Rattus norvegicus: one gene and its partners. The protein of the gene in region 3 interacts with the protein of the main gene of each other region in a pairwise test. Links are inferred from orthologs where the notes say so. Each region holds a gene or a part of one and is shown on either strand. Other genes may lie near its edges.

The links.
Region 1: the proteins of Tarbp2 (region 3) and Zfp346 interact in binary tests that used the Homo sapiens proteins (3 or more experiments, as listed by UniProt). The two-hybrid records come from large-scale screens. The link is inferred for Rattus norvegicus from reciprocal best matches to the Homo sapiens genes TARBP2 and ZNF346.
Region 2: the proteins of Tarbp2 (region 3) and Tceanc interact in binary tests that used the Homo sapiens proteins (3 or more experiments, as listed by UniProt). The two-hybrid records come from large-scale screens. The link is inferred for Rattus norvegicus from reciprocal best matches to the Homo sapiens genes TARBP2 and TCEANC.

What each region holds. Positions count from the first base shown.
Region 1 is NC_086035.1:9,515,181-9,518,835, reverse strand, and holds part of Zfp346 (zinc finger protein 346), read left to right. Parts: intron 1-499; coding exon 500-592; intron 593-2,427; coding exon 2,428-2,572; intron 2,573-3,655.
Region 2 is NC_086039.1:31,588,006-31,591,033, forward strand, and holds Tceanc (transcription elongation factor A N-terminal and central domain-containing protein), read left to right. Parts: upstream 1-1,307; coding exon 1,308-2,384; downstream 2,385-3,028.
Region 3 is NC_086025.1:135,530,568-135,533,339, forward strand, and holds the end of Tarbp2 (RISC-loading complex subunit TARBP2), read left to right. Parts: intron 1-380; coding exon 381-453; intron 454-642; coding exon 643-760; intron 761-1,082; coding exon 1,083-1,210; coding exon of another isoform or gene 1,211-1,214; intron 1,215-1,500; coding exon 1,501-1,702; intron 1,703-1,830; coding exon 1,831-1,988; 3' UTR 1,989-2,259; downstream 2,260-2,772. Other genes in the region: Npff (pro-FMRFamide-related neuropeptide FF preproprotein), read right to left, coding at 2,568-2,670. UniProt on the Homo sapiens protein: Required for formation of the RNA induced silencing complex (RISC). Component of the RISC loading complex (RLC), also known as the micro-RNA (miRNA) loading complex (miRLC), which is composed of DICER1, AGO2 and TARBP2.

The DNA of each region.
Region 1 (3,655 bases), on a different chromosome or scaffold from region 3:
CCAGGTCCCGTGCCACACCTTGCTTTTCCTGCCCTGTATGGTAAAAGCTTTCGTTCTTCCACAGCTACAAGATGCTTCCTTCATGCATGTCTGCTTGGGACTTGAAATTGACTTAATTTCCGTGACTCATAGCTCCCATCCAAATCAGGGTCATTATGTGTAGATCTCTCTGTACATCTTGATACAGGTGGAAGTGTGAGCTTTGGTTTTATGTAGACCTGGATTTGAAGCCAACTCTGTTCCTCATTTTAGGCAAGAAATTTCATCATGCTTGGCCTCAGTTTCTTCGTGGATAATAGTTCTTCCATAGATTGTGGGACGTTAGATGTACTAGCATGTAAAGGGCCTACCTAGCACATGGTAGAAATTCAGTAAATGAAGTTTTCTTCCCCCATTCTCTCTTCCTCACAAAAAGTCAGGTGAAACTCTGATATGGCCTGAGTGTCTTTTCTCTGAAATGACGTTTGACTATCTTTGATTTTTGGCTGGGTTCTTGCAGAGCAAAAAACATGCCAACAAAGTAAAGAGATACCTAGCAATCCATGGAATGGAGACACTGAAGGGGGACGTGAAGAGGCTGGACTCCGATCAGGTAACAGCTGCCTGCGTCCGGAGCAGCTTGGTGTGGTGCGAGCATGGGCTTTGATTCAGACTGACTTGCCTGCAGGCCTCAGTGTTGTTATCTAACCTGAGCAAGTCTTCTAATCCTTAAGCCTTGATTTCTTTCTCTGTTAAAAAAAGAAGCATAGGTCCCCACGTGGGGTGCACACATTCAACCAAAGCATGTGGAAGTGCAGGCATGAAGATCGGGCGTGTGAGGTTATCCTTGGCTGCATAGCAAGCTTAAAGCCAGCCTGGGCTACGTGAAAGACTGTCTCAAAACAAAACAAAAAAAGTATAGTTACCTTTCAAGATTTTTTCTAGTTGAGAAAAGACTTATAAAACAGCACCAGACCCAAAATCTGTTGTGTAAGCAACAGTTCAGTTAATGGAGCCATTATTAGACTCCGCCCTTAACTCCCAGAGGGTATTAAAGTAGACAGAGTAAAGGGACACTTATTTTCCTCAGCTGTAGAGAAAACAAATGTTCAGCATTTGCCTGGACAAATGAGGAAAGTGAGAGCCTCCTCTGACACAGTGCAGAAACACTCACTTTTACCTCAGAATTGTTATAAGAATTACAGAGAAACCAGTCACAGTCCCTGAGTGTGCTACGCCTTTCAGAGTGTGGGGGTTCTGCACAGTGCGGTGAGAAGTCGGTGGGCAAGGCTCCTTAACTTAATAGATAGGAGACCTTCCCTCTCGGAAATTCACTCATTAAAAAAAAGGGAGGGGGGAGACCTTGCTCGATAGTGTTGTGAGGTAAAAACTTCAGTACCCAGTAAATGGTCGGTAACTAAGGGGTTACTCTCCAGGCTGCTGGCTCCTGTAATGGTGGCTAGTGGTTTAAAGGGGCCTTCTTGTCCCTTCCAGAAACCATCTCCTGGTTGCCCTTATGGCTTAGACCCACAGGGGCACGATCAGTTAACCTTTCCGCTTCAGTTCTTAGATGACTGCGTAGCTCAGGTGAGATCACAGCACCCACCACCAGCTAGGAATTGCCAAGGCCAAACCATCTGCAGTGGGAAGGCTGAGAAGTGTTGAAGAAACACCTTGTTCAAAGGACAGACTTTCTCGGAAAGATTGAAATACACTTTCTTTCTTTTTTTTTTTTTTTTTTTTTTTTTTTGGTTCTTTTTTTCGGAGCTGGGGACCGAACCCAGGGCCTTGCGCTTCCTAGGTAAGCGCTCTACCACTGAGCTAAATCCCCAGCCCCTGAAATACACTTTCTATCATAACTCTAGTAGCAGGTGGGACCCACTGATGCATTTGCTCTAAGAGCCTTGGCTATCTCCTGTGTGCTGGACACAGCAGGTACAGGGGTAAGAGACAATGACAAGTCAAGCTGTGTACGTCCAGCACTGCACTAAAGCCCACAGGAAAGGCAGCTGCAATGCCGTCAGTTCAGGGTGACAAACGGTGCACTAAAGTCTGACATACTGGGAACACAGCTGAGGAGGAAGGCCAGCGCCTCCTGGACTGCTGCACGCAGGGGCCTTGCTGATGGTTTAGTCATGTGTCTTAAAGTCAGAGTCACTGAATAGCTGATAGCAGACCTAATAAAGCCAGGCGGGAATAAGGAGGAACATTCTAGACAGTAGGGATAAGCAAGCAAATGCGGAAGTAACAGAATAAAGTGGGAAACCATGCACGGAGCCTGACGTGAAATGGCTGGAGAGGGCTTTGTAAAGGTGTGTTGTACTTATGTTACGGTTAACATGTGAAGGGGGTCTTAAATGTCCACCTGCCAAAGGGCAGTGGGGAACCATTGGAGGTTTTCTGGATGGGCGCTGGCGTGATCAGACCTGTGTTCTCTCTCCCAACCAGAAGAGCAGCAGAAGCAAAGACAAGAACCACTGCTGCCCCGTCTGTAACATGACCTTTTCCTCCCCTGTTGTGGCCCAGTCGCACTACCTGGGGAAGACCCACGCAAGGAACTTAAAGCTGAAGCAGCAGCCCGCTAAGGGGGCAGGTACTGGTTTTCCTGAGTAGTGCTTTGGAGACCCTCAGTCCTCAGGGCACCATTGCAGGTGCTCCAGAATGCTCACTGGAGCCTCAGAATGTAGACTGGGGCTCAGGTATTTCAGGCTTTTGAAAGCCCTGAAAAATCCAAGTATGAGCTGGGGGCCTGAGTCGGTTGGTAGAGTAGTTCTTCCCTAGTGTGCTGCAGCCCCAGCCTCGCATAAGCTAGATGAGGTGCATACCCTCATTCTCAGCACTCACGTGGTGAAGGCAGCTACCATCCACAGGGAGTCTGAGCCAACCAGGCCATGTGAGAGCCGGTGTAAAGTGCGTATGTCCATCATAGACCCTGCCCTGCTGAGACTCGGCCTCAGACTTGGTTCACTCTACTTCCCTGGGTGTGCTTCTGTCAGATTTTCTATAGCCGTGACTTGGTTCTTAGCCTATAATTACTAACCTGGCCAGTAATTATAACTCAGGGAGGCCAAAGGCCAGCTGCACACTGAGCATTCTCCGCCTGCCTCGCTCGCCCTCTTAGTTCTTTCCTCCCACCCCACCTGCTCTTACTGCTGAGTGTTGCCGGCGACAGCTAAATCCTCATCTTCACGGACTCAGGTTATGCCTGCTCACTTTGACCTGCAAGGGCTGCCTGCTCTAAATGCCTTCAAAGCCAGACACCCTAGCAAGCCAGTCGCAGCTGCCGTGAGTCCCTCCCCAGCGTCCGACTTCACATGTAGCCTTTTTTATCTCTCAGCATTGGCACAGCCATCACTTTCATCCTGAGGTCTTTATCCTAGGGTAACTGCAATTAGTCACGAGTAGGAGGCCTTTGATTTCTGTTTCACTGGGTGTGTGTGTGTGTGTGTGTGTGTGTGTGTGTGCATATTATTCTCTGTTTTGGACCAAGACCACACTATCGATAGAACTTTTGATCCTTTTGTTTTATTTCATCATTGAAACAAGACAAGTGTTTAGAAGGTTTTGAGGATGTGATGGAGACCTACTCATCCTTGTCCCCTCTTCTCATACCCAGTGCAGTTGTTCATGATGTGAAGGGAGAGAGTGCAGACGTGGAGTCAGAGCAGCACAGGTT
Region 2 (3,028 bases), on a different chromosome or scaffold from region 3:
TGAAATGGGGCCATGCCTGTGTGTGGTTGAGAGTGGTCAAGGCAGAGAGCCAGCCTGAGGTGTTATTCATCACTTCCACTCAGAGGCTCCATCCCATGGGTGGAGGGGATGGTCTCGGTCTGTCTGTCTCTTCTCTTCTCTTCTCTCTCTCTCTCTCTCTCTCTCTCTCTCTCTCTCTCTCTCTCTCTCTCTCACACACACACACACACACACACACAAGTTAATGAAGCCAAACTCTGCAAGGAAAACCATCTGTAACTCCAGTTCTAGGGGGCTCTGATACTTTCTTCTGGCTTCCACAGGTACTAGGTGGTACACATACATATAGACAGACAGGGAAAACATCCATACACATAAAATTACAAAAAAAAGAAAAGAATTTCCTTCAAAATTAATAAAGAAGACCCTATAATAGGAGAATTTCAAAAAAATACATATATATGGCATATGAATTTGTATAAAGGGAATGCTGGCATTATTTTTCACAACTTTTCTGTAAATCTAAAAGTATTTCCAAATAAAGAATAAGCAGGGCATCTGTATGTGACTCTGTTTTTCCAACAGCTCAAATGTCAGCACATTGAATCCTGTTGGATTTCAGGGTTCACTAGACCTGCTTCCCAACCTTTAATGCCCGTTTCTTTACATTGGTTCAGCCATTAACATCCCTCTTTTTTGTTTTGTTTCCTTTTTATACTAAAAAAGTACCACTACAAAGATTATAAAGCCATTAAGTATCTTAGTTCCTAGCTGATTATGAGAAGAAAATAGCTGAGTATTTGCTCAGCTTTGTCTTATGGAGGGATGCTCATGTGAACATGATTTTATACCCAAGATGATCATCACATTCTACCCAAGATTAGGCAGGGTCTCATGCATTCCAGACTAGCCTCAACTTTTCTGTGTGTGTCTAAAGATGGCAGTATATCCCTATTCCTGCTGACTCTACCCCACAAGTGCTAAGATTGCAAGCATATACCACCATGATAGCTTCCTGAATATTCTTAATCTAGATAGATACTGATTTGTACAGTTGGAGGTAGGAAAGTTATAGCTGATATTCTACAAAGTCTTTGAATGTTCTGCTTAAACTTTGCTGCGCCATTTTCCTTCTGTTGTTGAGAATAAAAGTCTTGAGAGTTGAGTAGTTCACATTACTGCGGTATCTACTTAGAGTACTCCTTCAGAAAACATCACATGAACAGCTGGCAGAAGTTCTAGTTTACTATTCAGCAGCTGCCGCTGGTAAAGGCAAGCTTAGAAAGATTGAACCATCTTTTTCTTTTTTTTTCTTTGCAGCTGTGAAAATGTCTGACAAGAACCAGATCATTGCCAGGGCTTCCTTGATTGAGCAACTGGTGTCTAAAAGGTATTTTGAGGATATTGGTAAACAGCTTACTGAGCTAGAAATGATTTATGTGTCTAAGGAGCATCTGCAGGAGACAGATGTGGTCAGAGCTGTTTACAGAGTCCTCAAAAACTGCCCATCAGTGACTTTAAAAAAGAAGGCCAAGTGTCTGCTGGCAAAGTGGAGAGGTTTCTATAAGAATACACACTTCAAAACAAGGGAAAGCCTTAAAGTACTCCATACAGATGTTAATAAGGAAGTAAGTGTTGCAGTTTCTCAGGATGAAAGCCAAGATGAGACACCAGGCTCTAGCCACAATGAGATATTGGGTCTCTGTAGTTCTCTCTCTAGGCTGTCACCCCAAGATGCTGCAAAGGCTGCTGCAGCATTTGGGTCTGAAAGTAGTGCTGCTCAAATGGAAATTAATGAAGGCTATTTGGAGGATGACTCTGAATCTCCGAGCAAGAGCTCAGGTGTGCTAGATAATCCCTTAGTGTCTGTGAGATCTAAGTGCATAGAACTTCTCTATAAAGCCTTAGCTAGTTCTTGCACAGATCACACAAAAGTTCACTTTTGGCAAAACTTAGCAAGACAAATTGAAGAGCACATTTTTACTCTTCATTCAAACGATATCAAAAAATATAAAAATAATATTCGAAGCAAAGTTGCCAATTTGAACAACCCCAGAAATTCTCATTTACAACAAAATTTGCTCTCTGGAACCATATCTGCAAGGGAATTTGCTGAAATGACTGTACTGGACATGGCAAACCAGGAGCTGAAGCAGTTGAGAGCTTCCTATATAGAATCCAGTATTCAGGAACATCACCTTCCCCAAATAGTTGATGGCACACACACAAATAAAATTAAGTGTAGGCGCTGTGATAAATACAACTGCACAGTCACTGTAATTGCCAGAGGAACACTTTTCCTTCCAAGTTGGGTGCAGAATTCAAACCCAGATGAACAAATGACCTATGTCATTTGTAATGAATGTGGGGAGCAGTGGTACCATAACGACTGGGTGTGCTTGTGATTTGTTAATAATCTTTTCAAGGACATATGTTTTAAATATAAAACATAACCTTCTGTGCTCGTTTTTCAACAAAATCTGAATCTTATTTTTGCCTTCGGGAGTTTGGTTTGTGAAAGACGTCAGTATATAGCCCAAGCTGGTCCATTCTCAGGAGTGCTTGCTTTACACCACACCTGCTTAATGCACTGTTCTTACTACAGTACTAAACCAAGGAGGGAGAGTTGTTTGCCAATGTGTAGGCCATAGAAGGCTATCACATTGTACTTTGTGGCCACTTAAGACTTGACTCAGAGTGGCACTGTGGCTCAACACAGCCTGAGAGCATGTTAGAGATGAAGACTCTTGCCTGGTGCTCCTTGAATCCTGATCTGTATTTTGGCAGAGTCTCCAAGTGATCCTCTGGGATACTTTGAGAATCACTGTGGTTCTCAGGAGTGACTATATATTAGAATTTTCTGAGAAGCATTGAAATGTACTGGTGCCAAGAGCCAAGCCCAGTGCAATTCAGTATGAACCTATGGCACCGGACCCAGTAGTCAGCATTGCTCTTTGGTCATTTCTTGGTTTAAGTTGCAGTTCGAGTTAGGAACTACCTGTAAATAGTCTCTCATTTGAGCCTTTCTATAGTTCTGAAGAAATTAATG
Region 3 (2,772 bases):
AAAATTTGCACCAGCTGGTTGGTAAGCTTGGGATAGGAAGTAATTTATGATGTTTAAATAGCCATATGACGAATGTTAGATTGTTTAAACATCTTACAGGCTCCTTGTTTGAGACCCAAAAGGTACTCCAGGACCGGCTGTACTGCTCCTTTACCTCTGTCACAGGGATTTTACTGAAGTATTTCCACATCTAAATGCTACTAGGAAGTAGCGAGCCTCACTTGGTGGAGACTGGGGAGGGAGGAGCAAGGCTAGATGTTTGGACAGATAGCTGCCTGCCTGGTGAAGAATTGGGAGGTGGCAGTGGCTGGCACTTCATCCTTGTCCAGGACAGAAGGAACCGTTTTCCTCAGCGTTGGTCTGGGCCGTTTTTCCTTTAGGAGCCCTCCCATGGAGATGCAGCCCCCTGTCTCTCCTCAGCAGTCTGAGTGCAACCCTGTTGGTGCTCTGCAGGTGTGCCTCATCTTCATTGTCGTGTGTGCTGTCTTCTCTGAACTAGGGCCCTGAGGCAGGGATGTGCGCCCTCGTGGGTGGGGTGGTCCTCCTTCTCATTCAGAGGCTGAGGCTCTTGGTAGAAAGCCACTCGGGTAAGGAACCTTTCTTTCCCCATTAAACCTTGGACTCTTCTGTTTTTCTCTCAAGGAGCTGGTGGTGCAGAAAGGCTGGCGTTTGCCAGAGTACATGGTGACCCAGGAGTCTGGGCCTGCTCACCGCAAAGAGTTCACCATGACCTGCCGGGTGGAGCGTTTCATTGAGATTGGTAACTGGGGAAAAGGGGGTTCACTCACCTTCTCTCCGCCACACTATAGCCCCACACAAGGTGGCTCTTTGCCTGGCTGTGCTCTGTCCCAACTTTCTTTGCTTTGCAGCTCCTTGCTCAGTTCTTCCCTCCCTGTCTCTTCCTTGTCCCTGCCCATCTTTCCCCTCTTTTCTGGCTCATCAACTCCTCAGTGAAAACGAACAGGCCTTGAGCTCCTCTTTGCAGTTATCCCATAAGGGGACCTTCTATCCAAGTTAACTTAGAGGGAAAGCATTGGTCTGTTAGGAATCCCCAAATCGAACAATTCCTTCCCTATCCTCAGGCAGTGGGACCTCCAAGAAGCTGGCAAAGCGCAACGCGGCAGCTAAGATGCTGCTTCGAGTGCACACGGTACCTCTGGATGCCCGCGACGGCAACGAGGCTGAACCTGATGACGATCATTTTTCCATTGTAAGTGGCTTGTGTGGGCTCGCCATGTGGTTCACACTGCAGGACGTGGTGTGGAATTGGGTTGGGTCTGTGATTTGGAAGTGAGTTGGACCTGCTTCTCTACCAAACCCAGGGCTCTTTGAACCTGTGACACCTAGCAGTCCCCTCAGCCTATGTGTAGGGTCACTAGGGAAAGCTGGCCTAGGGCAAAGGCCCTGTAGCAACTTTTCCTGGGATGAGGAAGCCTGCCAGGGGTCAGAGTATGCCCTGTTCTTGGGTTCTTAGCTGCATTCTCACCCTTATCTCATTAGGGCGTGAGCTCCCGCCTGGATGGACTAAGGAACCGTGGGCCAGGCTGCACCTGGGATTCCTTACGGAATTCTGTGGGAGAAAAGATCCTGTCCCTTCGCAATTGCTCCGTGGGCTCTCTGGGGTCTTTGGGCTCTGCCTGCTGCAGCATCCTCAGTGAGCTCTCTGCGGAGCAGGCTTTCCATGTCAGCTATCTGGATATTGGTATGGCCAGCCAGGGACTGGGGATGGAGGGGACTGGATCAGAGCAAGTATAAAGGAGTTGGGAGATGGGTGATGTACACTGCTTGGTGCCCCTCCCCACCAGTGCCTCCCTCTTTTTTGGCTTCCAGAGGAACTGAGCCTGAGTGGGCTCTGCCAGTGTCTAGTGGAGCTGTCCACGCAGCCAGCCACTGTGTGTTATGGTTCTGCCACTACCAGGGAGGCAGCCCGAGGTGATGCTGCTCGCCGCGCACTACAGTACCTCAGGATCATGGCCGGTAGCAAATAGCACCCACTACAGTGATGGATATCTGTTACTTCTTGCTCCTTCTGCCCTGGGTCTATGCGTCTGCCTAGCTCTGGTGCCCTCCAGAGGTGCCATCTCTACCTCTGACACAGCTTGCCTGCCTTGAGACTGAGGAAGGCAAAGGCAAGCAAGGAGCCATGAACCACAGGGCCCCAGCCAGCGCAGGGTTTGCCCTCATTCCATGGATGATGAATGAAAGGAAATTGGAATTCTATTGGAATCCAGAATAAATGCTGCTCTTTGGCTTCTTAAACCCTGTGTTCTCTGGCCCTGGGTCATGAGGGTGTCAAAGGAATACACAGTGTTTGTTCTCCTTCTGAACCCCATTCTTTTTGCTACAGGCAGGAGGCAAGGTGCAGTAGCCTTGGGGACCCTCCAGCAGAATGGCTGGAGACTGATTGAGTGGAGGTAAAGGAGGCTATAACTATTGCTCTTGGGCTCCCACCCGTTCCCTGAGAGTCTTGTCCAAACACAGATGCAGAAGCCAGACCACTTTATTTGGGGGCACACATGGAATGTGGGGAAGTGATTTTGCATGCAGACATATCACAGCAGATGATGTTACTTCTTCCCAAAGCGCTGAGGAGCGGCCAGGCTCCAGAACTCTCTAGCCTGGGGACTTAGCTGCTCCTTGCTCCAGGGCCCCCAAGCATTTCTGCCAAACCTTAGGAGAGATTCATCTTTAGTCGGCACTCCCTGTATCTCACCTTCCCTCACATCTTCCTCTGCCCTCCTCCCTTCCCAGCCTCTGCCTTTTGGAACTCAC